7 linked regions of the Oryctolagus cuniculus genome follow. The protein of the gene in region 3 interacts with the protein of the main gene of each other region in a pairwise test. Links are inferred from orthologs where the notes say so. Each region holds a gene or a part of one and is shown on either strand. Other genes may lie near its edges.

What was found.
Region 1: the proteins of CDR2 (region 3) and TBC1D22B interact in binary tests that used the Homo sapiens proteins (3 or more experiments, as listed by UniProt). The link is inferred for Oryctolagus cuniculus from reciprocal best matches to the Homo sapiens genes CDR2 and TBC1D22B.
Region 2: the proteins of CDR2 (region 3) and TXLNA interact in binary tests that used the Homo sapiens proteins (3 or more experiments, as listed by UniProt). The two-hybrid records come from large-scale screens. The link is inferred for Oryctolagus cuniculus from reciprocal best matches to the Homo sapiens genes CDR2 and TXLNA.
Region 4: the proteins of CDR2 (region 3) and C8H4orf46 interact in binary tests that used the Homo sapiens proteins (3 or more experiments, as listed by UniProt). The two-hybrid records come from large-scale screens. The link is inferred for Oryctolagus cuniculus from reciprocal best matches to the Homo sapiens genes CDR2 and C4orf46.
Region 5: the proteins of CDR2 (region 3) and KANSL1 interact in binary tests that used the Homo sapiens proteins (3 or more experiments, as listed by UniProt). The two-hybrid records come from large-scale screens. The link is inferred for Oryctolagus cuniculus from reciprocal best matches to the Homo sapiens genes CDR2 and KANSL1.
Region 6: the proteins of CDR2 (region 3) and PKN1 interact in binary tests that used the Homo sapiens proteins (3 or more experiments, as listed by UniProt). The link is inferred for Oryctolagus cuniculus from reciprocal best matches to the Homo sapiens genes CDR2 and PKN1.
Region 7: the proteins of CDR2 (region 3) and KIFC3 interact in binary tests that used the Homo sapiens proteins (3 or more experiments, as listed by UniProt). The two-hybrid records come from large-scale screens. The link is inferred for Oryctolagus cuniculus from reciprocal best matches to the Homo sapiens genes CDR2 and KIFC3.

What each region holds. Positions count from the first base shown.
Region 1 is NC_091436.1:132,355,300-132,358,972, reverse strand, and holds part of TBC1D22B (TBC1 domain family member 22B), read left to right. Parts: intron 1-1,457; coding exon 1,458-1,586; intron 1,587-3,132; coding exon 3,133-3,198; intron 3,199-3,673. UniProt on the Homo sapiens protein: May act as a GTPase-activating protein for Rab family protein(s).
Region 2 is NC_091438.1:140,273,085-140,277,414, reverse strand, and holds the start of TXLNA (alpha-taxilin), read left to right. Parts: upstream 1-1,418; 5' UTR 1,419-1,586; exon of another isoform or gene 1,587-1,613; intron 1,614-1,728; exon of another isoform or gene 1,729-1,943; 5' UTR 1,944-2,133; coding exon 2,134-2,299; intron 2,300-2,791; coding exon 2,792-3,130; intron 3,131-4,330. UniProt on the Homo sapiens protein: May be involved in intracellular vesicle traffic and potentially in calcium-dependent exocytosis in neuroendocrine cells.
Region 3 is NC_091450.1:16,872,591-16,876,707, forward strand, and holds the start of CDR2 (cerebellar degeneration-related protein 2), read left to right. Parts: upstream 1-1,312; 5' UTR 1,313-1,581; coding exon 1,582-1,660; intron 1,661-2,049; exon of another isoform or gene 2,050-2,190; intron 2,191-4,117.
Region 4 is NC_091439.1:138,686,793-138,691,042, reverse strand, and holds the start of C8H4orf46 (renal cancer differentiation gene 1 protein), read right to left. Parts: upstream 2,955-4,250; 5' UTR 2,710-2,954; coding exon 2,560-2,709; intron 1,229-2,559; coding exon 1,073-1,228; 3' UTR 1-1,072. Other genes in the region: ETFDH (electron transfer flavoprotein-ubiquinone oxidoreductase, mitochondrial), read left to right, coding at 3,379-3,412.
Region 5 is NC_091448.1:17,041,864-17,046,246, forward strand, and holds the start of KANSL1 (KAT8 regulatory NSL complex subunit 1), read left to right. Parts: upstream 1-1,451; 5' UTR 1,452-1,547; intron 1,548-3,101; 5' UTR 3,102-3,238; intron 3,239-4,383. UniProt on the Homo sapiens protein: Non-catalytic component of the NSL histone acetyltransferase complex, a multiprotein complex that mediates histone H4 acetylation at 'Lys-5'- and 'Lys-8' (H4K5ac and H4K8ac) at transcription start sites and promotes transcription initiation.
Region 6 is NC_091447.1:63,106,806-63,110,478, forward strand, and holds part of PKN1 (serine/threonine-protein kinase N1), read left to right. Parts: coding exon 1-100; intron 101-210; coding exon 211-354; intron 355-2,104; coding exon 2,105-2,180; intron 2,181-2,259; coding exon 2,260-2,404; intron 2,405-2,488; coding exon 2,489-2,681; intron 2,682-3,316; coding exon 3,317-3,396; intron 3,397-3,474; coding exon 3,475-3,550; intron 3,551-3,655; coding exon 3,656-3,673. UniProt on the Homo sapiens protein: PKC-related serine/threonine-protein kinase involved in various processes such as regulation of the intermediate filaments of the actin cytoskeleton, cell migration, tumor cell invasion and transcription regulation.
Region 7 is NC_091449.1:41,227,116-41,231,112, forward strand, and holds the end of KIFC3 (kinesin-like protein KIFC3), read right to left. Parts: intron 3,754-3,997; coding exon 3,623-3,753; intron 3,327-3,622; coding exon 3,203-3,326; intron 2,734-3,202; coding exon 2,604-2,733; intron 2,523-2,603; coding exon 2,293-2,522; intron 2,100-2,292; coding exon 1,965-2,099; intron 1,655-1,964; coding exon 1,546-1,654; intron 1,150-1,545; coding exon of another isoform or gene 1,145-1,149; exon of another isoform or gene 1,122-1,144; intron 940-1,121; coding exon 914-939; 3' UTR 569-913; downstream 1-568. UniProt on the Homo sapiens protein: Minus-end microtubule-dependent motor protein. Involved in apically targeted transport. Required for zonula adherens maintenance.

The sequences.
Region 1 (3,673 bases), on a different chromosome or scaffold from region 3:
CACAACGGCCATAGCTGAGCCTATCTGAAGCCAGGATCCAGGAGCCTCCTCCAGGTCTCCCATGTGGGTGCAGGGGCTCAAACACTTGGCATCTTCTGCTGCTTTCCCAGGGCACAGCAGAGAACTGGATCGGAAGAGGAGCAGCCAGGACTTGAACTGGCGCCCACATGGGATGCCCGCAGTGCAGGCGGCGGATTTACCTGCTATGCCACAGCGCCAGCCCTGAAACACATCCTTTAGCGTTTATTTCCACATGCGTACAGCAGGAATATGTTCTTATTCCACACATGTAGAAGAGCACAACTTGCTCCTGAAGTCACCATCTCACGTTCTCCGCAGCAGCGAGGAAGTACGACAGGGTGATCCCAGTGCTTACTTTGAGCAAGCCCTCACATTCCCTGCGCCTCACTGCTCTATCAGTCGCAATAGCCAAAGTGGTTGAACCCCACTTTATCATTTGGAAGCATTGATCAGCGGACCTTCCTTAGAAGCCTTGCTGTAAGTCCTGTTTTCACTGAGGGCGGGGCACTGTGCCAGCCCCTGCGATAGGACACTTAGATTTTCTGAGCCTATGAAATTCATTCATCCATCCAGTAAGGACTTACCGAGGGCCTGCTGTTTGCCAGGCACGGCCCCAGGTGCTGTGAACAAGTACAAAAATGCATGAACCACGGACCCTGCTCCCAGGCACTCCCTGAGAAATGCTTGGCATAATTGTCTGCAGAGGAGGGGTCTCTCCTAACCGTGCTCCCCACCCCCAGCCTTGTAACCTTACTGACATTGCTCCTGCCACTTCTAGTAAGCTTGAATGATGCAGAGTAGATTTGGTAAGAACAGAAGCAGAACAGGAGTTGTAAGAATGCGAGTGGCATCTAGGGCAGGGATAAGAATGAAAGCTGGCCTGGAGCGGTGGCCAGGAGTGGCTGCTGCCAAAAGTTCTGTCTGGGCTTGAAGCTGCCACTTCCCAGATGCCCTGCAGCTTCCTAAGTTGGTGGTTCTGACTGTGACACAGAAAGAATGTGTAACTGGCACACCACTGAGAAGCAGCCTGGAGGTCGCCAGATCCCTGTGCTTCTCACAGTATGGCCCTGAACAGACGCAGGCCTCACAGGCCGTGACTGGGGTCCAGTCCCCTCCTGCTGACCTACATTTCAGCGCTCGCTGTGCCAACTCCGGGAGCCATGGAGGCTCAGCAGCAGTGTGCGCTCCAAGTGCAGCACTGCGCCAGAGGAGTAAATAACCCTGGGAAAGCTGGCCCGCTTTCATCCGCCCACATGTGGATCTCATTGAGAGAGAGGGAAGCACTGGGTGGCCAAAACGAGGGATTTATCCTGTCCGCTGGCCGTTCTCCTTCTGTTCCTTTGATAGCTTCCACGCCTCTGCTCAGGCTAAAATAAAAAACCAAGGATTCACCCAGCCAGTATCTGCTCCCCTCTGACGGGCAGTCTTGTCCCCAGGGCTATCTCCCAGCAAACACGGAGAGGAGGAAACTGACTCTGCAGCGGAAGCGTGAGGAGTATTTTGGCTTCATCGAGCAGTATTATGACTCTCGGAATGAGGAACACCATCAGGATACCTACAGACAGGTAGGGTCGTCACCTGCAGCCTCTTTGCCTATTAGTCACACTGCAGGTGTGTCTCCTGGGAATGCCAGCAGGGTACAGATTTCTAGGTCTTCAGGCTGTGGCATGCTGCTCAGGAATTCAGTTTATTCCCCTCTTTTCTGCACCTCCTTTTCATTCATAACATCCCAGTCTAGCTATTGTAAATAGACTTTTTTTGGTCACTAATTAGTGGCCTGAGAGTGCTCAAATTTTAATGTGCGTGCAGTACCCAGGGTCTTCATGAAAATGCCACCTGGGGGTTGTGGAAACAATGCAGGTTCTGATTCAGGAGTCTGGGGCGAGGCCTGCTCTTAACAAGCTCCTGAGCAGCGCTGACGCTGCCAGTCCAGGCCACTCTGTGAGTAGTAGCAGTTACGGAGTGTGAGAAGAAGGGTAAGTTCGCCCTGGAGTGGTCCAGTCCCTCTGGGCTGTGATGTCAGTGTGCCCTCTGGCAGCCGCTGGGCCTGTTCAGCTCCCATTTCTGTCTGTGTCTGCCTGTGGGAGTCTCCCCTCACTGCCTATGCAGGAATGTCTGCTGCACTCACATGGAGGGAGCAGGAGAGCAGCAGGTGGTTGTAGAAGGTGGGGGTAGGCGGCTATCCACAACAGCCCCAAGAACTTAAGGAGCCTCTTTCAGACTGGCGTTGGGAAATCCCCACAGCTGAACCCAGCAGAATGACCTCTTTGCTAACAGAAGACCTTGACTTCATTAGCAGCTCCTCCTCGATTCCCTCTCCTGGCTCTTTTTTTTTTTTTTTTTTTTTTTTTTGACAAGCAGAGTGGACAGTGAGAGAGAGAGACAGAGAGAGAAAGGTCTTCCTTTGCCGTTGGTTCACCCTCCAATGGCCGCCGCTGCAGCCGGCGCACCGCGCTGATCCGATGGCAGGAGCCAGGATCCAGGTGTTTTTCCTGGTCTCCCATGGGGTGCAGGGCCCAAGCACCTGGGCCATCCTCCACTGCACTCCCTGGCCATAGCAGAGAGCTGGCCTGGAAGAGGGGCAACCGGGACAGAATCCGGCGCCCCGACCGGGACTAGAACCCGGTGTGCCGGCGCCGCAAGGTGGAGGATTAGCCTATTGAGCCACGGCGCCGGCCCTCTTCTGGCTCATTTTTATGGCTGTCAGAGACCTTTTAGTTCTTAGGAAGTATTGATGGGTAAGATTCTGACAGGGGGGTAGATACTTTGACTACACTTATTAACTAAGTGCCGGCCCAGAGCAAAACTGACTCCAGAGCCAAGGACAAAGCAAGTGGTACTCTTGGGTCCTGAAACCTGTTGCTGTTTGGCTTACATGGTTGACATTAGGAGGTTTCCTCAGTGTTTGACAAGCTGTTGCCCTCATGAAAGCACACTCCACGTGGACAGCTAAGTTTACTGAAGCGGACTTTTTTCTGGGTCTGTCAGTTCTTGCTGAAGATAAAATTACAGTGTAACTCTTAGTCTCTTTGTTCTCATTTCATAAGAAAATAACTTTGTCAAAAGAATAGACTGGCATTTGTGTTTTTGGACGTGGCTTCTCTTTTTCAGATTCACATTGACATTCCAAGGACGAATCCTCTCATTCCATTGTTCCAGCAGCCACTTGTGCAGGAGGTGAGGGGATTACTTGATGTTCTTTGGTCCTTCTCCCCGCCCCGTCCCCAGTTCTGTGGCACCTGTTCACAGATTTACCACTGACCATGGTAGTACCTCATGTTCAGCTATGGAGCTTTTTTTTTTTTTTAAGATTAATTTATTTATTTGAAAGACAGAGTTATAGAGAGGCAGAGGCAGAGAAAGAGAGAGAGGGGGGTCTTCCATCTGCTGGTTCATTCCCCAGATGGCTGCAACAGCCAGAGCTGCACTGATCCAAAGCCAGGAGCCAGGAGTTTCTTCTGGGTCTCCCACACAGGTGCAGGGGCCCAAGGACTTGGGCTATCTTTTACTGCTTTCCAAGGCCATAGCAGAGAGCTGAATGGGAAGTAGAGCACCCAGGACTCGAACTGGTGCCCAGATAGTGTACTAGCGCTGCAGACCAGGGCTTTAACCCACTGCACCACAGCACCAGCCCAGCTTTGGTTCTTTTAGA
Region 2 (4,330 bases), on a different chromosome or scaffold from region 3:
AATCTGGTTAACACTAGGGAGCTGCAACAGTGGCAGAGCACTGGGAGGGTTTTGATGTGCTCTTTGAGATGGCTCTCAAGTTTGTTGTTTATTTTTGCCATAAGTGCACTTTGGAAGAAAAATAGCAAGCATCTGCAAAAACCTGAGAAACCCTGTGAATCATAAAAGTAGAGTTGGAGCAAAAAACCCAAGATTGGATGGAAGAGGCAAAAGCCAAACCACGTAGGCTCTTCAGATTCCAGGTGCAAAGAGTACTGGGTTTTATTCCAACGTCTATAAGCAGCGGTGATAAAGAATTGTGACCTCGGGGCTGGTGCCTGCAGTGCCGCCATCCCACATGGGCGCCAGTTCAAGACCTCCTAGCTGCTCCATTTCCAATCCAGCTCTCTGCTATGGCCTGGGAAGGCACTGGAGGATGGCCCAAGTCCTTGGCCCCCGCACCCAGTGGGAGACCTGGAAGAAGCTCCTAGCACCTGGCTCCTGGCTTCGGATCGGCGCAGCTCTGGCGGTTGCGGCCAATTGGGGAGTGACCCAGCGGATGGAAGACCTCTCTCTCTCTCTGCCTCTCCTCTCTGTGTAACTCTGCCTTTCAAATAAATAAATAAATCTTTTTAAAAAATTGTGATCCCACCTTTGGAGAAAAATCTGGCCTTTTCAGTTTTAGCCCTAGTACCACAAGGACTTTGTACAAAATGGGACGAAGAAGTTTCAGGAATGGGCCTGAGGTCAAACACCCCTGCAGGGACCCCTCTGCCCCTTCCTGCGGGACTGCCGAGCTTATTGGGGGGGGGGGGGGGTAACTACCTTTCACAAGTTACCCGGGCTCTTGGAGAACGCCTGCAATGGTGATTATTTCTTCTGAGTAAAAGGCAGGGTAGCGGAGTAGTCAGGTTCTGAACCACTGCTCGAACCCAGCATCTGTGACCGTGGGCGAGCTGTCTAACGCGAGCCTTACAGCCCTCTTCCGTTAAATGGGAATGACAAATAGTACTTATCTCCAGCAGCTAGGAGGCCAGGGCTTTTAAGAGACCAGGGAAGCACACGGGGTGTGCTCAGAGAACCGCTACGGTCACTGAAAGCCTGCGTCAGAATAAGGAAATCGAGGCAGGGAGAGAAAAGAACGTCCAGTCGCGTGGCACCTAGGGATGAAGTCGGACCTGGAACACAGGCCTGCCTCCCAGCCCAGGCCTCTCCGGAGTCCCCGGACTGACGGAGTGTGGACCGAGGCACGCGGGCGCAGTGAGGCTGGGCCGCACAGGGCTTCTGCACGACACCGGCGAGGTTGACGTGGAGGTTTGCTCAGAACCACCGGCTCCCCAGCCCTCCGGAGTCCGCGGCTCTGAGGACGAGAGCATCCTGGGAGTTGTGTCGACCGATGCATGGTGGGACGTGTAGTCCGCTCCTGTCCCCGCCCTCCCGATGCACCCGCCTTGGAGGCCGCCTTCGCTCCCGGCTCCCGGCAAGCTCCGCGCCAGCGCCGGCTACTAATTGGCTGTGGCTCGGACAGGCGGCTCTGCCGGCAGCGGTTACCCAGGGTTTCCGGTGCGAGGCCAGCGCTGGGGACGCGGTCGCACGTCGCCCGTGAGGTGAGCCCAGCGGCGGGACGACGGACGGTGAGGGCCTGCAGACCTGGACACTTTCGGCCAGCGGGGAAATTGCTCCGATTTCTGCGCGTGGGCGGCGGCGGGGGTGGGGGGAGTCGGGGTGACGCTGTGCGCATGCGCGCGACTGGAGGGCGCGCGGGGCGTGGGTGGCTGCGTGCGCGCGGGCGCGGGAGCCCACGTGGGACCTGGGGCGCGGGGGGAGGGGTCGGAGTCGAGCGTCCCGCCACGTCAGTCTGCGGCCGGGAGCCAATCCCGCGCCGGGCCTGCCGTGAGGGGCCGTGTGGGGCCGGGAAGTGGCTTCGGGGGGAACAAGGAGGCCTCTCTCCTCACCCGCTCCAGGAGCAGCGCCCCGGAAACCCGCCGGGGTGCGCCAGGCCCCCTGACCGGCCGGACAGCGGGAGAACCGTTGGCTCCCTCCGTTGAAGGTGCGCCTGGGCTGTGATTTCTGATCCAGGCTGCGAAGAATTCTGTGGAAAATAGCAACTGTGTTTCTCAAGGATCCAATCCCAACCTAAGGTGGCAGCGCACAATGAAGAATCAAGACAAAAAGAACGGGGCTGCCAAACAGCCCAACCCCAAAAGCAGCCCGGGACAGCCGGAAGCAGGAGCGGAGGGAGCCCAGGGGCGGCCCGGCCGGCCGGCCCCCGCCCGAGAAGCCGAAGGTGCCAGCAGCCAGGCTCCCGGGAGGCCGGAGGGTGTGTGCCAGCTCTGCGTTTCCAGCCGCCTGGGGGAGGAGTTCGCGGCCCGGCCCAGGGAGGAGGCAGCGGGGATGTGGAGCATCCCAGGCTCTGGGGAGGGGAGGCCCTTGCAGGCTTCTCGCAGGTGGCCGGCACCTGAGGCCTCAGCCAGTGACGCCGGGTTCCATCCGAAGGACCTCGGTCACCAGTGTGGGTCACTGCCCTTGGTTCGTTGTCGAGGCATTTCTGGAGCTGCTTGCATAGCAAGCGGGGGCTTTTAGAGGGAGGGGAATGGACGAAACATTGAGTTGCCTGCCTCCTGCGACATGGCAGTCCCAGGTGCCGTACGTACTTATTTTATGCTTGAACAAACTGTATTGGGGAGGTTGCGAGAATTAAGTAAGCTGGGGCAACCTTAAACCTGAACCAGTGAGGCTGGCTGGGCTCACGATCCCAGGTGGTGGTCTAACCTTGCCGTCTGTCGCTGCCTCTCGTCCTCTCCTGCCCTAGGGGCTCAAGCCAAAACTGCTCAGCCTGGGGCGCTCTGTGATGTCTCTGAGGAGCTGAGCCGCCAGTTGGAAGACATACTCAGTACATACTGTGTGGACAACAACCAGGGGGCCCCGGGTGAGGATGGGGTCCAGGGTGAGCCCCCTGAACCTGAAGATGCAGAGAAGTCTCGCGCCTATGTGGCAAGGAATGGGGAGCCGGAGCCGGGCACCCCAGTAGTCAATGGCGAGAAGGAGACCTCCAAGGCAGAGCCGGGCACGGAAGAGATCCGGACGAGCGATGAGGTCGGAGACCGAGACCACCGGAGGCCACAGGAAAAGAAGAAGGCCAAGGGTCTGGGTGAGCAGAGGGCAGCTGCGGGGGGCTGTGGGGAGGGCTTTGCACCTGACATTCCTTGGGCTGTGCAGCAGGGAGTCTCCCTGGTTGATTCAAAGCGCAGGGTATTCCAGCCACAGGCCGGAGTCGTTCAGGTTGGGAGCAAGTGAAATGGAGCCTGATCCTCATGGACAAAGCGGAGAGGTTTGGATGGGCTCTGTACCTGCCCACACCGCTTCGTCCCTGCTGTGTGACCTTGGGCATGTCCTTTCCCCGCCCTGGGCAATAGTTTCCAGTTCTCTACAAGGAGAGGATTGGGCTAGGCCAAAGTTGCAAACGCAAACGTCTGTGTAAGCCAGGACCGAGGGAGGGCCTGCTTTCTGCCCAGGGTGGACTGCAGCCTTGTTCCTTGAGTGCTCTGCACTGTGCCTGCTGCCAGCTCGTCAGTTGAGAGCGTGTTGAACCTCAGACTGGGTGCAGCTGGAATTTTATTTTCTGTTAAGAAAAGCCAGAAATCAAGAGTCTGGTGAAATCTGTAGATTTCAGTAGTAGAAACCAAACAAAACCCATGCATGAGCCGGGTTTGGCCTGTGTGCCAGTGATTGGCATCTCTGTGCTGGTGTCTTCGGGCCTCCGCAGGCTGAGCAGCCTGGAGCCTGGTCAGCAGCCCCTGGGGAAAGGCCCCCCACTGGGCACAGGCAGTGGGGAAGTGGCAGAGACGGTTTTTTGACAGCAGAGTTCGTGTCTGTTAAGAATCTGGGTTAGATGACATTGGACTTGTGTCCTAGTCCCTGTCTCGCCGCCCTTCCCCCGCCCCCAGCACTTGTCACCCTAATTGAAAGAGGAACTTTTTTAAAGAATCATGGGAACACACATTGAAGGTCTCTTCATTATAAGGTTCCCTGTTTGGATGCCTCGTACACAGGGCTATAGATTTCTCACGGAGGCCAGGAGACCTTTTCGGATCCTGCTTCTCTGGGAAGGCCCCACTTTGCATTGAAACAGTAGCCCTGAATTTGCAGGTGGGATACCTTTTATCTGCTGGGAGGCAGACAAGCTTTTCTCCCACCAGTGGTGCCCCCCCCCCCCCGAAGGAATTCCAAGAGGTTTTGGTAAGCATCTGTGGGACACGTGCTGCGCTGGCTCTGTGGACAGCACTGAGGCCGCGGTGATAAGCAGGATTGAGTTGATCCCACCCCCATGGAGAAGCTGCTACAGCGGTGC
Region 3 (4,117 bases):
ATTTTAGGTGAGTTTCCTTGCTCCACCGAGTCTTGATTCATTTATATGAAGTCAAAAATAGTCTGGGGATGTAGAACTCCTTCCTTACAATTCCCCTTATTTTTCATCATAGTAGTGTGTGCACCAGGGGAAAACAGTAAGATCACAGAGGGGCTGATAACACAAATCAAAGTCAACAAATCCCAACTCACCCCGCACTGCCTCCCATTTCAGCTCTGAGCTCTCTTGGGACCTGTGGCAATGATCCGTTGAATCCCCAACTTCAGGCATTCCCTATCAAGGTATCGCTGCGACGGATGAGGATGTAGCACCAGTCCCCTACTTCTCCCTTCCTCCGAACTCCTGGTCGTTACGATCTCACGTCCTAGAGACAGCTCTTCAACCTCTAACATCTCCGACCTCTTTCGGCCGCCCCCTCCCTTGACGGCTGTCCCACTGTGTAACAGACTCCGTGTTTTACCTGCACGGGGGATGCAAAAACCTTGAACCCACGAGCAGCACGGATGGTGTTAGGTCTGCGGCAAGCAGCGGGCACTGGGGCCAGGGGCAGGCCTCGCACGCCGCCCGCAGACTCAACGCGTGGTCTATGAACCTTTATAACGGAGCACGCGAAGCTGCTCCGCAATTTCCCCCGCTACGGAGACAGCTTCAGCGGCAACCGCCCCCGCCCCGGGTGCCCAGGCGATTCTGGCGCCGACCGTTCTGGAGGGAGTACAATTCCCAGCCGCTCGGAAGCGAAGGCTCGGATGTCAAGAAAAGAACGGCGAACAACTCAGAAGGCGTTGTTCTCAGCTCCCAGCTCCCGACCGACTCTCAGTCTTCGACAAAGGCGGGCTGAGCAATGGCCCTGGGGCTCGCGGCACCGTTCGCAAAGCCTCCCGCCGGCACGAAGGACGCCCCCTCGACAACCGCCCACTGCTCGGAAGCCCGAGTCCTCGCCCCTCGGACCCGCGCAACCAGTCCGCCCCTAACGGGCCGATCGGACACGCACCACAGGTGCAGGCGAGGTATCTGCCGCCTCCTCCCGAACGCACCCTCAGGAGCTACACAACACAGGCGAGGGGCGGGGCTTTCGGCCGCACCCCTTCACTTCTTCCCCGCCTCCTTTGTTCCTTCTGCAGCCGCCATTGGCTGCCTGCCCTCGGGACAGGCCGAGCCGCGAGCCTGTAGAGAGACACGATTGGACGAAGTCACTGCCACTCATCCGGCGGCCCGCTCGCCATTGGCCGACGCGCCGCCGGGGTTTTGAATCGCGTCCCCGGTCGGGGAGGGTTCTGCCAAAGTGCCACGTTGGGCCGGGTTGCGGTGTGAGGAGCCGGCCGGGCGCGCCAGCCGGGGGGCGCCGGCGCCCGGGCGCGTGCTGGGGGTGGGGGTGGTCTTTGGGCGGCACGAGGCGAGTCAACGGCTTGCGGTGCGGGCGGCGGAGGCCGGCTGGCCGGCCGGCGGCTGTACTGAGGCGGCGGCGCGTCCCACCCGAGGGCGGCTCTGGCTGAGGGCGGAGGAGCCGGGGCAGAGCCCGGGGCAGCGGCTGAGGCGGGACGGCGGCGGCGGGGGCCGCTGCCCCCGGAAGACCCCGCGGAGATGCTGGCGGAGAACCTGGTGGAGGAGTTTGAGATGAAGGAGGACGAGCCGTGGTACGACCACCAGGACCTCCAGCAAGGTGAGGGCGAGGGCGTGGGCGTCGGCGGGGCGGCTTGGCGCGAACCTTTTTTTTTTTTTTTTTTTTTTTTTTTTAAGTTGTTTTTGCTCGCGGCCGGCCCGGCAGGTGCTGGGTAGGACGCGGGCTCACCTGGCGGCGGGGCCCGCCCGTCGCGCCCGCGGGGAGCCTCGGCGCCGGGCCCACGGCCTTGCTCTAAGCCTCGCTGACGCGCGTGCTGTGCGGACTGCGCGCCCGGCACTCATTGTTTGCATGAAGTCAGTCGGTGCTCCCCGCGTCCCCCCGAGGCACGGAGGGCTGAGCCGGCGAGCCCCGCTGCAAGCGGCCGGGCCGAGAAGCCCACCGACCCCGCGGCCAGCCCCCTCTGCAAGTGCTCGCAGCGCCTTTCTGGGCCGGCCGGAGCGGGAACGGCTGCAGGCTGCGGCGAGCCCTTGGCGAATACCAGCTCTTGTTTGCTCCGCTGCATTCCCCTTGGAGAGAGGAACGTCGTCGCTGTCCCATTTTCCGGATTGGGAAAACCAAGGCTAGAACAGGTAGGAGGCTTGCCCGAAGGTGAAGTCGGGGCGCCAGTGTTTTTGGACCCGCACGCTCGGAACGAGGAGTAGTGTCACTACCCAGGCCCCGTGGCTTCCTTGCCAGCATATTAATAGCAGACACTTGCAGCTGGGGACACTGTTTCTGTGCCCTCAATACAGATGCTCATTTAATTCACGAGCCCGTTAGTATCTGACATCAGCCCTGGTAGAAGCGCATGCTGCCCGGGAAACCAGGATTCCGCTTCAAACTTCGGAGCAGACAGCCTTAACACCAATCCGGAATTTTTCCCAGGCATCTTCCATTTCTGCTATTCTGTGTAAATTTCTTTCAGCTTTAAATTTGCTGTGAAAATTTGCATAACCGTCTAGTTGAATATTAAATGGTCATGATGCTTGAGCATACTCACCATTGAACTTGGCAGAAAATGTAGACTAGAATAACTCAGAAAAGGAAAAACAAGCACCTTTTCTTCGGGAAGGTAATTTCTTAAATTAATATGCAACCATTTAAGCCACCCTTATGCTTACATAGTTCTAGTTGTTCAGCAATTGTAGTATGTATTTGCCATCATCTTCTCTGTGTTGGAAAGACAAGTTTGTCATAACACTTGAACAGACTTGTTTTTTGGTTTTTCCCATAAGAATTGATGGCCTACTTTGATACTTTCTCTAGCACTGATGAGGCAACCACCAAGCCATTGCAACATTTCCCTATAGTAATTTAAGCAGTTTGTAAAATCAGAGCTGCATCTTTTTTTTTTTCTTTTTTTTTTTTTTTGGTCTGGAGTTTAAGAAGCATGAATATTTAAGGACATAGATGTTTTTGTTTTGGTATCTCCAGCATCTAGCATAATATCCGGCCCATCATAGAAGCTGGGTTTTAATATGCGTTGAGCTGAACTGAAGCGCTCATGAAATTGCTGTTTTCATTGCTCTCTTATCAAGTGCCTTGGTCCACACTGCACCTTCCCCCGTGGCAGGGTGTCAGAAACAACCAGCTGTATTTCATTGCCCTGAGAGGCCAGTGCAACCTGTTGGGGGTTACATGTGGAAGTCTCTTTAACCTTTGATCAAAAGGTATCAGCTCTTTCAAGTTTAACAAATCTTAGAGAACCTCCGAAACTCTCCTGCCACATTGCATTTGGAATTTGTTCCATACTTTTCACAGAGCTTTTGCATCTGTTATTACAGTGGACTTTGACATAACCCTCTATGTCATAACCAGCTATGGGGGCGGGGTAGGAGTAGACAATGTGAAATTCCAACAATCCTAACTTGTGAATGGAATGTGGCCTATAAAAGAAAGAAGGCTATAGTGTGAATGAATAAAAGCTGATCTTTCCCCCTCCAATTTTGCTAAATTTTAAAAAGAATTCCTAAACTTCTAACAGATTATACAGCTTGTTCACGTATCAGAAATTCATGATGTACTCTCCGCCCAGTATCGGTCTAGGTCCCAGCCCAGGGTGCCTGTCCCCATGATAGGGTCAGCGGGTCCCTACTCTGAGGGTTCGTGTTCACTAGAGAAACTTGGAGATGCTCCCTCAGGGCCTGTGCCCACCGTGGAGCCTGGCTCATTGCAGGCCCTAGCAGATATTTGTTGCTAAGTAAACCTGGGCAGCAGGTCTGTCCCGTTAAACAGATAGATTAAGCAGGTCTCAAGGAATTGCATCACCTACAGACATCTGTTCAGTTTTTAACATCCTCACTGTTAACTTAGTGAGCAAGGCTTATTGGGAGAGAGCTGTTTAAAACAATTTAAAGAGCCTGTTCTCAAAGTCTTAAGACAAAAAATGTTTTTTCTTTAAGAACAAAAGCCATTTCCTAAAGATTTCTGGGGTGTTCTTTTTAAATTAAAATACTGAAAAATGCTAACCTCCGTAGACGCTCTTATTCATGGCTTGTTTGAAACACGCAAAGCTGT
Region 4 (4,250 bases), on a different chromosome or scaffold from region 3:
CTGGCTCCTGCCATCAGATCAGCGCGGTGCGCCGGCCACGGCGGCCAGTGGAGGGTGAACCAACAGCAAAAGGAAGACCTTTCTCTCTCTCTCACTGTCCACTCTGCCTGTCCAAAAAAAAAAAAAAAACACACAAAAAAAACCTGCAAGGGGGCGGGTGTTTGGTCTAGTGGGTAAGACATCATCAGGGTGCCTGCACCCTGCACGGGAGTGCCTGCTTTCACTGCTGGCTCTCGCTCCTGACTCCAGCTCCCTGCTAACATGGGTTCTCAGCATCAGCAATGATGGCTCAAGTAACTGTGTCCTTGCCGCCCACGTGGGAGCCCTGCAGTGAGTCCCCAGCTCCCGGCTTTGGCTACTGCAGGCATTCGGGGCGTGAGCCAGGAGATGGGGGCGCCCTCCCTGTCTCTCTCCATCTCAGACACAGATTCTAATCAGGAAGAAGAAAACAGGCTCGAATGACATTTGCCAGCTCATAGTCAACACTGACGCTGGGCGACACTGCTTTAGGTGCTGAGGATACAGAAGTAAAACACAGCCGCTAGCTCTAGAGAACTTAGCTACTGAAGCTCCTTCTGCCACCGGCGACGTCAGTCTTCAAAGAACCACAGCCTTCTCCTAAGAGGGCCAAGGAAAGGTGCGTTCTCCGTCCCTTATTGCCAGTGGTCCCCAAGATGCAGCTCAACTTCTAACACTGCTGCTCTTGGCGTCTTCTCAGAAACCGTGTGACGGTTCACCTGATCCACCCTGGCAGCGCTGTGGCAGCATTAACATTTGCATTTGCATACAGGAACCCATTTGCATACAGGATTCCATGAAATTTAGAGGACACAGGTACTAAAGCGTAAGCAAACACGGGCTGGCATCAAAAATAGTATCAGCATTCTGCTTTCACGAAAGTCACGAAAACCAAGCAGAATTCAATCACGAGAAGCCGTGCTGAGTGTACAGGGCCTGCTAGAAGGAGCTCAAGCCGTACATGTGGGACACACGTATCCACATGTGCAGATACCACACACGAGGAGCCGGGAATGGGTGCCCGGCCGTTAGCCCAGCACCTAAGCAGGCCGAGTCAGCCGTCAGACTTCAGAGACTCGTAGCCTTCTTTCAGGAGGTGCCGCCACGTTTTCAGGAAGCGCGCGTTCTCTGTACACTTGCAGGCCAGCTCTTCCACCTGCGCCGACACTGCCGACGTGGCTTCCAGAAGCTTGCTTAATGAAAACGCTGCCTGAGATGAGAAGAAAAAGCAGTTATTTTTAAAGCTGTCATTTTATACACAGTCGGAAAATGGCTTTCACATGAATCTGGTACCCAGGCTACTACACACTTCCACGGGCTGGCGCTCTGGTGGAGTGAGCTAAGCGGCAGCTGGTGATGCTGGCCTCCATGCAGAGGGCCGGTGAGAGCAGGTGTGTCGCTTCTGACCCAGCTTCCCGCCAGGGCACCGGGAAGGCACTGGGAGCCGCCCAGGTACCTGGGGCCCAGCACGCGCACGAGAGACCCGCACGAGTGCGCGGCTCCTGGCTCCGGCCTGGCCACTGCGGCCATCCGAGCAGGGAACCAGGGGACGGACAATGCCTGCCTCTCCCTCTCTCTCTGGCTCTGCCTTTCAAGTAAATAAATAAATGTTTTCAACATAAAAGTAGTAAGTTTTCAAACGAAAACATCGGCTGTTTGTAGAGAGCCTCAAGAATTACTGACTTGCAGGTCAGCTTTGAGGGCATCTGGCCCCACCGTCTGTGCGCCATGACCAAGGCGGTATTTTTATTTTCCCTGAAAACACCGTGGAGTCCCTGAACTCCGGAAAGCGATGGAGACGCCTCCTCTCCACCTGCCCTAAGTATCTGAAGGACTTCACCCTCGACGCCTGATGGTGCAGCCTCAAAGGCACCGTGCCACCACCCTGCTGTCAATCCTGACCCTGCAGGACAAGAAAAGCAGACGTCAGAGAGGAGCCACCACCGAAACCACACGCGCATTCAGAGAACACCCAGCCCTGACGTTAGCCTCAGTTTCCAAAGGTTTTCTGCACCTAGGATAAAACCCCGCACAGGGGCGCCTGGTCCACACTGGACACACGGTGCGCATCATCCATCCCGAGGACGGGGTGCTAGGGTGGGGCGTGCGTGCTGGCCCGCGGCAAGGCCAGGTTTCCCAGCAGACACCCAGGACAGCAGTCCAGCGCCGAGCAAGCCTCGCGCCGACCGCAGCATCGACAGCCGGCCCTGGGCAGGTGGCCATCGGGAGCCGCAGTGCAGGGCTCCGGCGGGACGGGCGGCGCGGGCCGCAGCGAGGTCCGGGGAGCCCGAGGCCGGGCGGAAGGAGCCCCCGCAGCCCGCCGCCGGCCCCGGGCAGGTGGCCATCGGGAGCCGCAGTGCGGGGCTCCGGCGGGACGGGCGGGACGGGCCGCAGCGAGGTCCGGGGAGCCCGAGGCCGGGCGGAAGGAGCCCCCGCAGCCCGCCGCCGGGCCCGGGCAGGTGGCCATCGGGAGCCGCAGTGCGGGGCGCGCGCGGCCGGGGTCGCGCCCCCGGCTCTCGCTGCGGGCCCCGCGACACTCACGTCTCCGATCTGCAGCTCCACCAGCTCCAGCCGATCCACCGCGCGGCCGCCGCTGGCGCTCGCAGAGGCTGAGGAGGCGTCCGAGGACGACGGAGAAGAGGGCGGAGGCGGGGGCGGCGAGGCAGCCCGCAGCTCCGCGGGCGCAGCCATGGGCAGGGGCCGCGGCAGCCGAACCGACGCCAACCGCCTTTCAACCGCTCGCGCCCAACACCCAAAGGCGCCGCCTTCTCCTTCCCGAAGGCCCGCCTTGTGAGTCAACCCAGGGCCACCAAGACGGAGACGGTTCGCTTCTGCGGGACAGCCAATCAAACGTCCGTCAATGCCCTTTGGGCGGCTTAGTGCAGCTGCGCGGAGCTCCCACAGGGCGCGGAGTGCTTGGGAGCAGAAGACTACAACTCCCAGGATGCCGTGCGCCTCGCGCCCCCTCCCACTGCCCCGCAGTGCGCGTGCGTTACGCTCCGGGCTGTGCGGGCCCCGCCCACCACGGCTGGACAAGCCGGAAGCGCAGGCCGAGTTTTCAGCCTGAAAGCGCGGGGCGCTCTGGGACTTGGAGTCCTCGCGCTTTTCCTGGTCTGCTGCTTGACCCGGAAGCCTGTGCTGGCCCGCGCGTCACGTGTGGCGCCGGCGCAGAGCGAGAGAGGGGTAGGTCCCCGCGCAGCGAGGGCGGTCGGCTGAGCCCAGAGGCGAACTTCAGCGGAGGCGCAGGTTCCTCCGGCCGGGAATGACGCCCCCCGCGGCCTAGGGTCCCGCCCCCGCGGCCAGCCGCCGGCCCTCGTCCGCCCGCTGTGTCCGGCCGCGAGTGTCACCGTTCCTTCGAACATGCTGGCGCCGCTCGCCAGGCGCTCCTGCCCGGGTGAGAGGGAGCTCGCGTGGGGATGGGTGGAGGGAAGTGGGAGAGCGCGGGCGAGGCGGGCCGGGCCGCCCGGGGGCTGGGAGCGCGCGCCCGCGGCCCGCGGCGGCGCGGGGTGCACCTGCTGGTGGGCCCGGCGCGCGGTGCCCCTGCTGGTGGGCCCGGCGCGCTCCCCTCAGGCTGCCCCAGTTGGAAGGACTCCTCTCTGGGTTAAAGGTCGGGGACGGAGGACACTTGTCAACACGTTGCCCTCGGCGGGCTCCCGGGCCGGGGGTGGCACTGGAACCAGTGGGCGCCTTTCCCCTTGGGGCGCCCCTGGGTGTTAGCCGTCCCCGCCTCCGGCGGGGTCTCTGCCAGGATTCCGATTCGTGTCCCGCCCGAGTCACCAGCTCTGCCTGGAGCTGGGAATGGCTCTGCGTGGCCTAAGTCAGTTCGGGGGTGTTCCTTGCTGCCGTTAGATACGACCCGTAAAATAAAAAATAAATAATAATAATAAATAAAATAAAAAACTTTAGCTTGAACAGAAGTTTTTACTTAAGAGAGCTTTGAATTCTGTTGTAATCGGCTCGGCTTGATTTGCTGAATGGCAGGTTTTGGTTATGGAATGCTTAAACACCTGCACACATTGCTAATGCAAGGGCGTGCTTGTAAATGTCAGGAGTAGAATTTTCTAAAGTTGGCTTCCGAGTATTAGGTTAGAACTCGGTCGAAGCTTCTGTTCCTCTTGTTACTACACCAGGGCCCGCTTTTACGTTTGTTGGAATATCCCGGTAGTCAGGCGCTGTCTGCTCCGGATCCTAATTTACCGCCGTCTTGGGCCAGCGCTAACCAAATCCGTTGA
Region 5 (4,383 bases), on a different chromosome or scaffold from region 3:
ATCTTTAAAAAAATAAAAATAAAAGCAAACAAACAGGATCATGATGAGAAGGTATCTGTATGTGTCACCAGACTGATAAAATTGTCTGTGGCAAGAAAAAGTTAAGAATACTAATTTATGGATTTTTTTTAGCCTAAGGAGTGTCCCTGTATTGATTCTCAAAACCTACGAGGCTCTTAAAGTTTTATTATTTTTATTTTTTAATTAATTTATTTTTATAGACTTTTAAAAAAAAGAGAGGTAGAGACACGGGGGTGGTGGGGAGAGGTATTCCATCTGTTGGTTTACTCTCCAGATGCGAAGGACTTGGGCCATCCTCTGCTGCTTTCTCAGGCCATGGCAGAGAGCTGGATTGGAAGTGGAGCAGCCAGGACTTGAACCAGTGACCACAGGGGACTTCAGGCCAGGGCTTTAACCTGCTGCACCACAGCACCAGCCCCAATTATTTCTGTTTTCCCAGAAACGCTTCTTCCCTTAACTTTCATGTGTCATCAATATTTTGTTTCTCTTATTTCACCTTCGTTCTCACCCTCCTGACTTTAACTGTGGTGTCTTTTTACATGTGTGGGGGAGACTCTGGGCATTATCATGTGGTGAGCAGAGAGCTCTAAATCTTTTCTAAGCCAGATTGCCCATGCTCTCTCAAAGTTTGTAACTTTAGTTGTCTCTGGGACACCTTCACTCACTTAACCCCTGGTATTTGGAATGGAACATATTGAAACCCAAGGTTCCTCCCCAAATCTGTACGCTGTCCCCATTTCCAGGTTTTGCAACCTCAACCTCAGATTATCTAAAAATTTAAATCAATTAAAAATTTTTTTTTCAGAATTAGGATGTTCATGAATGATTTTAAAAGTAGCAAAGGATACAAAGGCCATACAGTGAGCTGGAAGCCTTTCTCCCACCTGCTCACTGGAGCTGCCCTCCGGGAAGTAACCACCGTGGCCAGCCTGGAGTGATTTTTGATCCCTTCTTCCATCGGTTTTATCTGAAGTCCTCCCCTGTTTGTAAAAGATGTGTCCCTCTCCAGGCCCTTGGAGCCGTATACGTGACTGGCTTTACATATAAACATTTATATGTGCGAATTCGAGATTCATATATAAAATCTCTCCCTATGGCCTTCCGGCCTCGAGTTTTCATCACGTCGCTTCCTGGATGAAGAACCCAGAGGGGTGAGGGGCAGGGGCTGGGGGTGATGGAGAGGAGAACCTCAAGGGGACTCAGGGGGTTCAGAGTGGCCTACTGGTGAGAAGCACCGCTGGGATTCCCGATTCCCAGTCCTCCCACCTCAGGGCCCCTTTCCAGAGCTCCTGTCCAAAAGCCTCTCGTTTCCAAGGGCCCTGACAGAGACAGAGACAGCGAGATAACACAGAGACAGAGACGCCGAAGCACCAGCATCCCTCTCCCCTCTCTGTCCCGCCCCATCGCTCTGATGGACACCCTCTCTCGACCAATGGCGCCCACGAGGAGCCCCGGAAGGCCCAATGAGAGACAGAGGAGGGCGGAAGATTCCCCGCCCCCACTCTAGGCTTGGTTGAGCCGTGCAGGTAGGTCCGGGGCTGGGGGAGCTGCCGTTGGCACTGGTGCCCCGGGGGGTGGGGGGCACGAGTGGGTAGGGGTGATGGTGGGGGAGGGAAGGCGGCTACGACCCGGGGGCTTTGAGGGGGCGGCCCGGCCGGGAGGCGAAGGGTCGAGGGGCCCGCGGAACGGGCTCCGCCGAGGGCCCTGGAATCGGCTGGGCTGGGGGAGCGGGGACTCGTGTGTGGGGCACAGGGACCCCCACCCCGCGCCCACCGGTAGGCCTGGACCGCGGGCTGCTGGCCGAGCTGCCGGAGGGCCTGGCGGCCCGGGGGGTGGGCCGGGCCGGGGGCAGCGAGGGAGCCCAGGGCGCCAGGCCGAGCCGAGGTGGGACGGACCGACGCGGAGAGGAAGGGAAGCTGCATCCCGCGGGCCGCCCCCTCCCGGAGCGAGCCGGGGCCACGGCCGCGGGCGCCCCTGCCCGGAGCCCCCTCGCCCATCCGCCCCTCCCCAACAATGGGGGTCAGGCCGGAGGGGTCGCCCGGCTGCGGGAAGGTGCGGAGGGTAGGTTCGGGACTGGGGTCCGCGGTGGGGGAGGGGTGAGAACTCGGGCTCTCCCCTTTCTCCTCTCCCGCCGCCCGGGAGGGGGGTTCGCAGAGGGGTCCGGACCCCGCCCGAGACTTGGGTCCAGAGTCGAACTCCTCGCACCCCGCCCCCACCGGCACCCCCAGATCCGGTGAGCGGGGCGGAGAGTGATGCCAAGTCCTCGAAGCCGAAGTGCAGAGGCATAGCCGGAACAGACCCGCTCCGGAGGGTTTGCCTTTTTGTTTTTATTTTTGAAATGAGGATACTTTAGTCTTTGATTTTTCCTTATTTTTTTTTTTTAAGAGGTGAGTGCTGTTATTTTTGTCCCTACTCGGGCAAGCCTCCATTTTAAGCGAAGCAGTAACTGGTTAAGCTGGAATTTCATTCAGGCCTAGGACTTGAACTGTAGGATCCTACAAGAGGTCATTTAGTCCATCCTCCTGTCTCCAGGCAGATTTGCCACCTCTCATCCTAGAATGAAGTTGTAAGGGTTTCCTTTAAAGATCTCCTGGGAAGAAGTGCCTTATTTGTTTGTAGTACTTTGGTCAATAGATTTTATTTATTATGTAGAATCAGCTCTGAAACTTAATTTAAGCTCAGAATTTTAGGTCAGAATCATCAAGAGGAGTTTTAATTTACTATATAAAATTAAATATGGTAAGGATCCTTTTTTAGGTGGTTAACAAATCACCTTTCCATAATGTGTATGAAGTACTCTTAAAATTTTTTTCCCCTTTCTTGGATTTTGGTTTTCTGATTCTTTGAGAAGCAATTATATATTTTCTAAAATGTCATACCTTTGTCTTTTCAGGTAAAGTATGTTTACATGCAAGTATCTGCCCTTTTCCAAAGAGTACTGTGTTTTGGGATGAATGAAACAAACAAAAAAAATATATGTGTGTGTGTATATATATATATATATATATATATAAAAGTAGCTTAAACTACTTGCATATTCCGTATTATTTTTTAGTCTAACTGAGAGCTCTCTCCTTTAGGTAACTTCTCAAAACAGGAAGTTTTTCTGCCTGCTCCTACCTGGTGACTGAGGGGATCACTGACTCCCTGTTTGCTCATTTCTGAATCTTGTCTGAACTCTTCTGACACTATGAATGCGATTCGGGTGCCTCTTAAGGTAAGATGTGTGTTTCTCTCATCAGCCTCATTTCGTTAGTGTTGTGAAGAGTGGAGAATATCCTGGTTTTTGAAGTTGCTGTTCTTCAGTCCCTTTACCTGTCACTGCTCCCTTTGAAGATTGCTTTGCAGGAGTGATTGGTTACTCCTTACCTTGCGTTGCTACTGTTTGTAATTACTGGTGTTAAAGTATTAATGAAGGTCTCGGATTATCTCCCATTATAATGATGTGTTCATCTTTTTAACTTCAAATTGTGACAACTTATGTAGTTGTAAAATTCTGCTCTAGTCCTAGTGGGATGGGTTCCACCTTCAGGTCCACTTTCAAATAGGTGCTTTAAAGTCATGGGTGCTAGGGTGTGTCCTGCTCTTGCAAATCAGTAGCTGATTCATGTGTTACAAAAGATGTGTCATTAACTGTTTACTCTGAAACTTCATATGGAGTATTAGAACATTCTAAGAGCTACTGGCTTGGGTGTGCAGCTCTTTGGAGAGTCCTCCTGCTTCTCCTACTCTTTTGCGTGAGATTTTACTTTGTTTCTCAACAGGTGGCACTTGGGCCAAGTTTCATCTCACAGGATAAACCTTATTTGGGCAGAGTGGACAGATGTCCTTTAAATGAAGAAGCTCTCATTGATGTGTTGGTTCTCTCTCTCTCTCTTTTTTTTTTTTTTTTAAGATTTATTTATTTATTTGAAGGTCAGAGTTACACAGAGAGAGGAGAGGCAGAGAGAGAGAGAGGTCTTCCATCTGCTGGTTCACTCCCCAGATGACTGCAACGGCCGGAGCTGCACCTATCCGAAGCCAGGAGCCAGGAGCCAGGAGCTTTTTCCGGGTCTCCCACATGGGTGCAGGGGCCCAAGGACCTGGGCTATCTTGTACTGCTTTTCCAGACCATAGCAGAGAGCTGGATCGGAAGAGGAGCAGCTGGGACTAGAACCGGCGCCCATATGGGATGCCGGCATTTCAGGCATAGCACCGGCCCCCGATGTGTTGGTTCTCTTGTGGCTTCTTTTAGTCTTCTGCATATAGATGGCCAACACATTCTCCATTAGGACAAAGTGGAGGACAGCGTTTAAGACACAGGAGTATGTAGTGGGGGAAAAACCAAGGGAGGTGGAGTGATGGAAGCCCTCCACTGGCTTC
Region 6 (3,673 bases), on a different chromosome or scaffold from region 3:
TGCTGTTCTCAAACTGGACAACACGGTGGTCGGTCGGACGTCCTGGAAGCCGTGCGGCCCCAGCGCCTGGGACCAGAGCTTCACGCTGGAGCTGGAGCGGGTGCGCCCCTGCTGGGGGCTGGCAGGGCCCAGAGGGAGGGCTGGGGCGGGGGGGGGGCGCGGCCTGGACCCGGGGGCACCCCCAGCTCTGTCCCTTGTCCTTTGCCCCAGGCTCGCGAGCTGGAGCTGGCTGTGTTCTGGAGGGACCAGCGGGGCCTGTGTGCCCTGAAGTTCCTGAAGTTGGAGGACTTCCTGGACAACGAGAGACACGAGGTGCAGCTGGACATGGAGCCCCAGGGCTGCCTGCTGGCCGAGGTACAGCCCAACCCCTGAAAGCGCTTCCTGCTTGCCCACGGGGGCCCCCCCCGGGGGGGGGTGACCTGTGATTCTGATGCAAAGTATATTTAAATTAAAAAAAATAGAAACAGTTTCATTGAGACAGAAGAGAAGAACAAACCCTGGGCAGGCGGCAAGGTGTGGTTGAGGTTGTGACCCTTGACGCTGGGGCTTGGGTCATTCTTTGCAGTGGGGCCATGCTGTGCACCGTGGGGGTGTTTATCCGAGTCTCTGGTCCGGATGCCAGTAGCACCCCCACCTCCTGTCCCCACTGTGACAGTCCTGTGTTTTGGTCTTTTAAATTTATTTATTTGAAGGCAGAGTTACAGAGAGAGAGAGAGAGAGAGAGAGAGAGGTCTTCCATCCTCTGGTTCACTCCCCAGATGGCTGCAATGGCTGGAGCTGCACTGATGCAAAGCTGGGAGCCAGGAGCTCCATCCGGGTCTCCCCAGCAGGTGCAGGGGCCCAAGCATTTGTGCCATCTCCCGCTGCTTTCCCAGGCGCCTGAGCAGGGGCCTGGGTCGGAAGCCGGGCAGCTTCCTTGTGGGATGCCGGCCTCCCGGGTCTCGGCTTAGCCGGCTACACCACAGCACCAGCCCCTGCAACCTGACCTTAACCCAGCACGGAGAACTGGTCCACCTCCTGCCCGCAGGCTGCCCGGCTGTGTAAGGCAAACCCAGAGCCCACACACGCATATACCACCTGCCCAGATGGAGATCCGAGCTCCCAAAAAGTCCTGTTAGGTTTTTTTTTTTTTTGTACTGAGTGCGCATTGCTTTTGCGCCACTGTGTAGCCCTTTCCTCCGCCCCCTAAAGAAATTATGAAGTCAGATCTTTGTAAGCGTGGGACCACGTGTATACGTGCACACCCCTCCCTGTGCACAAATCCCTCCCCATCAGTTATCTAAGCCCCATGGAGAGGGAGAAGGGCTGGGGGCGGGGGTTGGGGAGGGGGTTTCTGTCAGGACTTCCAGACAGTTCCATGGCATGCGTTTCTAGAAAAGTCTAGGACATACGTTTCCAGAAAATTCTGTGACGTGCATTTCCAGTGGGTTCCACCATATGCATGCCCAGAAAAATGCCGTAGCATGCATTTCTGGAAAGTTCCATCACTTGTGTGTCCAGAGGGGTCACAGATGATACCGCTGGTTGTAGACCAGGCTTAGGGCAGTCAGGGCTGTGTGTGACGGGGGGACCCCGGCAATGTATTTGAAAGGCAGAGTGACAGAGACAGAGAGCTCTTCCACCTGCTGGTTCATTCCCCAAATGGCCACATAGCCCAGGCTGGGCCAGGCCAAAGCCAAGAGCCAGGAGCTCCATCCGGGTCTCCCGCGTGGGTACAGGGGCCCCAGCCCTTGGGCCATCTTCCGCTGCTTTCCCAGGCACATTAGCAGGGAGCCGGCTGGGAAACGGAGCAGCCGGGACTCGAACCTTAGGTGTGGGCAAGGGATGCAGGCGTCAGAGGCTGTGGATTAACCCCTGCGCCACCATCCCGCGATCTTGATCTAGAAAGTCCGAGATGGGCTTGGGTTTGTGGCCGGAGCTCATTCCCAGACCCGGGGACCAGCCATCCTTTCCTGGGGCAGCGCCCCCTCCGGCCGCAGCTGCACTGGGGCCTGAGCCTCCAACACAGGGAGGGGTGGGCATCCATCCGCCCTGCAAAGGGGCTTCCCCGCCGCGCGGGGGGAGGGACAGGGGCGGGGTCTTCAGCTTCCGGCCCCTCCCCCAGGTCACCTTCCGCAACCCGGTCATTGAGCGGATCCCTCGGCTCCGAAGGCAGAAGAAGATCTTCTCCAAGCAGCAAGGTGAGCAGCCGGGCTGGGGCTGGGCGGGGCGGGGCTGGGGAGGGGGCCCGGGAGTGACACCTGCCCCGCCCCGCCCCAGGAAAGGCGTTCCAGCGCGCCAGGCAGCTGAACATAGACGTGGCTACGTGGGTGCGGCTCCTGCGCAGGCTCATCCCCAACGCAGCCTCGGCCACCGGCACCTTCAGCCCCGGGGCTCCCCCAGGATCCGAGGCTCGGCCTGCAGGGTAAGGGCAGGGAGGGCGGCCCCGGGGCTCCCGCCGCCCCCTTGTATCCCGGGGCGCTGAGCTCTCCCTGTGACACCTGCGCAGGGACGTGTCCCTGGAGAAGCTGAACCTGAGCGCCGATGTGGACGGCTCCCCCCAGAAGAGCCCGCCGGGGCCTCCTTCCAGCCCGAGTGGCCTGGTGAGCCGCCCTTGCCCCGGCCCCGTCCCTAGCACCTGGGCCATCAGCGGCCGCTTCCCCACGGCATCAGCAGGGAGCGGCCGGGCTTCGAACCGGCAGGTGCATTGGGGCTGCAGGCGTCACAGGTGGTGGCTGAGCGCCCCCCCCCCCCCCCGCCTGGGTCATTGGTCAAAGTAGGCGAGTTTCTTTGGCTCTGGGGAATCCAGGAGCCTCCTGAGGGCTGTGTTGTCACATGGCCAGGGCTTCCCAGCTGTGGCCTCATGGTCAGGACACCTGCGTCCCACATCGGAGGGCCTGGGTTCAAGTCCTGGCTCCGGCTCCGGACTCCAGCACCCTGCACATGCGCACCCTGGGAGGCAGCAGGGGGCCCCACAGTGGGAGACCCGGATGGAGCTCCCAGCTCCCGCTGTTGTGGGCATTTGGGGAGAAATATATGTGGCGTGTGAAATGTTCCCGAGAGGAAGGCAGAGAAGGGGGTGGGCCGTGCTGAGGGGTCCTGTCATTCCCTGTGGTGCTCAGCCGACCCCTGCACAGGTGACTACAGGAGGGGGGGGCAGCCGTGCAAAGGGCCTGGGGCAGGAAAGTGCCTGGTGTGTTCAGAGTGTGGGACAGGGTGGGGGAGCACTGTGGCTGGAGGGGCGTGAGCAAGGAGGTGAGGGAGAGGACAGAGAGGGAAGTGGCCCCTCTGTGTAGGGGGGCAGCCCACCTGCCTTCAGCCGGACCTCTCTCCACAGAGTCCCCCCAGCCAGGAAACCTCGAGCACTCCCGAGCTGCCTCTGGAGACCCAGGAGACCCCAGGCCCCGCCCTGTGCAGGTGCCAGCCCCGCCCCTGCACCCGGGACACGCCCCAGCCCGCTGCCCCGCCCCCAGCACCCGCGCCCTCTCTCCGCAGCCCCCTGAGGAAGGCGCCCCTGAGCCTCGAGGACTTCAAGTTCCTGGCGGTGCTGGGCCGGGGTCACTTTGGAAAGGTGAGGCAGGCCGTGGGCAGCGGGGCCCCCAGCGCGTCCAGGTCCCACCCCCACCCCCACCCCCGGGTCCCCCGGGTCAGCCACCCGGTACCGCTGTGGTTACAGGTGCTGCTGTCCGAATTC
Region 7 (3,997 bases), on a different chromosome or scaffold from region 3:
AGAGCCTCGAACTCAACTCCAGCAATGGCTGCCCAGCTCTGCCTGCTTAGGCAGCGAACTGAGCCCCAGGGCTGCTACTGTAATTTATAAGGTGAATTTTATTAAATTTGTAACTCTTGCCTGCTCTCCTCGTGGGGAGGGGCACTGTCTGGCCCCCAGGCTCTCCCAGGACTGCCAGCCCTGGTGCTGCAGGCTGTCTGACCAGCAGGGCACAGCAGCAAAGGGCTAAGTCAGGTCCACCCCGCCATGGCTGCGCACCAGGTGAGGGGGTGCCCACGGCCAGCGCCGTCGCCCCATCCGCTGAGGGCGGCTCTGTACTGCCCTTCCCCGCTGCACAAGTTCCCAGGGCTGGGACTCAGCACAGGCTGGTGCAGGGGGAGTGGGGGAGAGCGGAGCCCCAGCCGCACCCTGCAGTTTCCCACCTATTGCGTGGAGGAGACACCCGTGGGATGGCTGCAGCAGCCAGGGGCGGGGCTGGCCCCTGTGAACCCTGGGCAGAGGGGGTGAGCAGGCCACACCCCCTGCGGCTGGACCGAGGGCTGGCCAGCCCAGCTCTTTCAGACCACACTCGTGTAAAAAAAGGCTTTTATTTTAAGAAGTAAAAATGGCTACGCTTCCAAAAGTTCTTAAATAGGACTTCAGAGGGGGAGAGGTGGGAACGCTGGAGTGCCTGCTGCCAGGCGCCGGGGGGAGCAGCTGAGGCCCCGCGCCCCGGGAATGCTATGTACACGTGGCTGGAGCCCCTCGGTGCCTTCTGGGAGACCCCGCGGGCCTGGGGGCAGCTGGCCAGCCCACCCTTGCAGCTCACGCCGTCCGCGCCACTGGTGAGCCCGAGCCGCTGCTTCTTGCTCTGCGAGGGGCCGGGACGTCCCTGTCTCCTGCGAGCCGGCGAGCACGGCCGGCTGTCCATCCATCACACAGGCAAGGGCCTCGACTTCCCTGCGGGAGGGGAGGCGGGGAGGTCAGCTGCGGGCCAGCAGCGGGCAGGGGTGCCCACAGCGGTGCTGCGAGAGCAGGAGGGAGCCCGCAGAAGCACACAGACAGCAGGCAGCGGGGACAGAGCCAGCCCCGCCACCCAGGCAGGCGGGTGTGCAGCGCTGGGCCGCTGGCCCCACACTCACCTGGAGACTCTGCAGCCCAGCCTTCAGGCTGAAATCAAAGCGACAGGCGTCTCACTGGGGGCGTGCCTCAGGCCAGGCCCCCACGGGGTCCTGCCAACCCTAGCCCTTTGCCGGCCCTCCAGTGGGTACTGGCACCTGTGCCGGGGCTCGCCTCTCCAGGACACAGGTGGGCTCCGCCCTCTCTGTGCCCAGGGTAGGGGTCCCTGGCCTGCTCCCTGAGCCCGGCCAGCCCCAGTTAGGCAGCAGGAGGGCTGGGCTGCTCCTCACACCGGCCCCTCCCTCCTTTTGTAAAGTGGACCCAGCGCTGTGTGCCCGACGCTGCAGGGCAGGGGACAGGGTGACAGAGGTTCAGAGACTAGAAAAGCCCACCCAGGTAGGGCACCTGGGGGCTGTGATGATGGAGGGGGTAGGGTTGGGGGCTTACCCGAGGGCTGCAGCTTCCTTCGGATGGAGCCCGCACGGCTCGTGGTCCCTGAGCCGGGGGCTGAGTGGGCACGTGCTGAGGGCTGCGGTGCCTGGCAAGCTGGCTCCCACTGTGAATGGAGGAGGACAATGGCTGGGCCTCCCTCCCCAAACCTCAGTTTCCTCATCTGTGAATGGGCGTATTAACTCTTATGCTCCCTGAGACGGGCTCTCGTTAAGTGAGACGCTGGTACTCCGTGTGCCAGGCCTGCAGGCCTCCCTGACCATGACAGATCTGGACTAAAGAGCTGCGGCATCTGGGTTCGTTCTAGCTCCACCCCCTTCACCCATAGGCCCAGTCGGTCCCCTAAGCCCCTTCCTGCTGCTCACGCCCCTCCTGCCCCGGGCCAGCCCGAGATGGGCCTGGGGTGGTTCCCTTACCTCCAGATGCTCCTGGCTGGACCAGGACCCCAGCTCTGTGCGCCGAGCCCCAGGGCCCAGCTCCACAGAGCGTACCCGCTCGGCAAACTTGAGCGAGTAGAGCGTCTCGCTGGTGTTTTTCTCCACAGGGGACACCTGGGGAACAGAGTGGTCAGCCCACCCAGGCCAGCCAGCCACCCCCGTAGCACCAGAGGGACAGTGATTCCGAGGAGGGGAGGGAGGAGGGTGTGCGAGGCACACACATCACTGACTCAGGAGCGTGGTGCTCGGGGGGGGGGGGGGGGGGCCCCGGAACGCGTCTTGGTGCCAGCCCATGACGAGCGCCCACCTGCACCACCATGAGGGTCTTGCTGTCGCCGCTGAGCGAGTCCTGCAGCAGGTAGGTGAGCTTGGAGTTGCGGAAGGGCACGTGGCCCTGGCGCGAGCGCAGGGCGGCAATGACGTCCCCCAGCGCCGACAGCGACTTGTTGATGTGCTGCGCCTCCCGCAGGCGGCTGCCCTCGGCTCCCGACTTGCCCACGCGCTCTGAGCCAGCCAGGTCCACCAGGTTCAGCTTCCCTGCAGGGAGGGTGCCAGCCAGGTCAGGGCTGCCTGCCGCGGGGGGGCCTCCGCCCAGGCTGCCCAGGGTCCAGCGCTCACCCGTGGTGCGCAGGCCCGTGCTGCAGTCCGTGCCCCGCACCGTCACGATGAGCAGGGCGTGCGAGCGGGAGCTGTGCTCATTCAGGTTGGTGAACTCCGTCGTGCGGTTGGTGTGGCCGAACTCAAACACCTGGGGCGCAGGGTTCAGAACAGGTCTTCGGAATCGCCCTGGCCCCAACGCCCCTCGCAGACATCTCCCAGCTGAGGGACATCGGTCCCTCAATGCCCACAACAGCCAGGGCAGGGCCAGGCCAAAGCCAGGAGCCTGGAACTCAACGCAGGTCTCCCAGGGGCGAACTAAGGACCCAAGTACTTGAGCCATCGCCTGCTGCTCTCAGGAGCCACATTACCAGGGAAGTGGAGGGGAAGCAGAGCAATCGGGCCTGGAAACTGCTATGGCACGTGGACATCACTGCCGCAGACGCCCGCCCTTCCACACCGGAGAGGAGCAAACAGGCTCAGAGCAGACAGGGGCAGGCCCGAGTCACACAGGGCAGGGCAGAAGCTGCCGTGGAACCTGGCTTCGTCCTGGTCCACAGCAGCTCTGCGTGGGCCCAGGGTCTCCCCAGCATTTCCCCCAGAGCCCCCCAGCCACACACCTTGTTGATGTCGTCCACACTCTGCACCCGGAACTCGGTCAGTCCTGGCACATACAGCTGCCCACTGCCATCTGGGCACAGCCGGATCTCCAGCTTCTCCTGAGGCTCCTTCCCCAGCAGGTCCCTGGAGGGGCGGGGCCGGGGGAGGGCGGTTACTCCTTCCTCCCAGGTGAGGCCTCTCCTAGCTCCCCACCTAGATCCCTGCTCCTCCAGCTGCTCCCTTGCACTCTGCTGTTCCCCAAGAGTCCTGTAGATGGCGCCATTCCTGCCTCCACAGTGAGCAGCTCTGTGGGCAGAGCCTCAGCTGCTGTCTGCTGTGCACCACTGCCCCTGCAGCCCACAAGGAGAGCCCCCCTCCACAGTCCCTCTCGTCCAGTCCCCAGCGGTGCCCACAGCCGCCTGTGGGGCTGGCGCCTGCACCTGAGGACCTCGTTGTAGATCTCGGCGGCGCTGACGGTGATGTTGTACTCCCAGTCGGACGCCTTCTCCTGCACCTCGGAGAAGAGCAGCTGCAGTGCCCGCTGGTTGATGCCAGGGTTCTCGGGGGTTCCCTAAAGAAGGAAAGGGCCCCGTGAGCCAGGCCTCTCGGGGGGGGGGGGCTGTGCCATGCTCACGTGGCATCTGCTGCCCCTAAGCCCCTCGGCCACCACTCCAGGGGAGCCTCCCTACCCAGAGCACCTCCCTGCCTGCTGGTCATGTCCCCCAAACGCCCCCTCCACTGGCGGCAGCAACTGCTGCCTAGGCCCCAGTTTAAAGTGGCCTGGGGTCTCGGGGCCTCTGCTCCCGAGGCAAAAC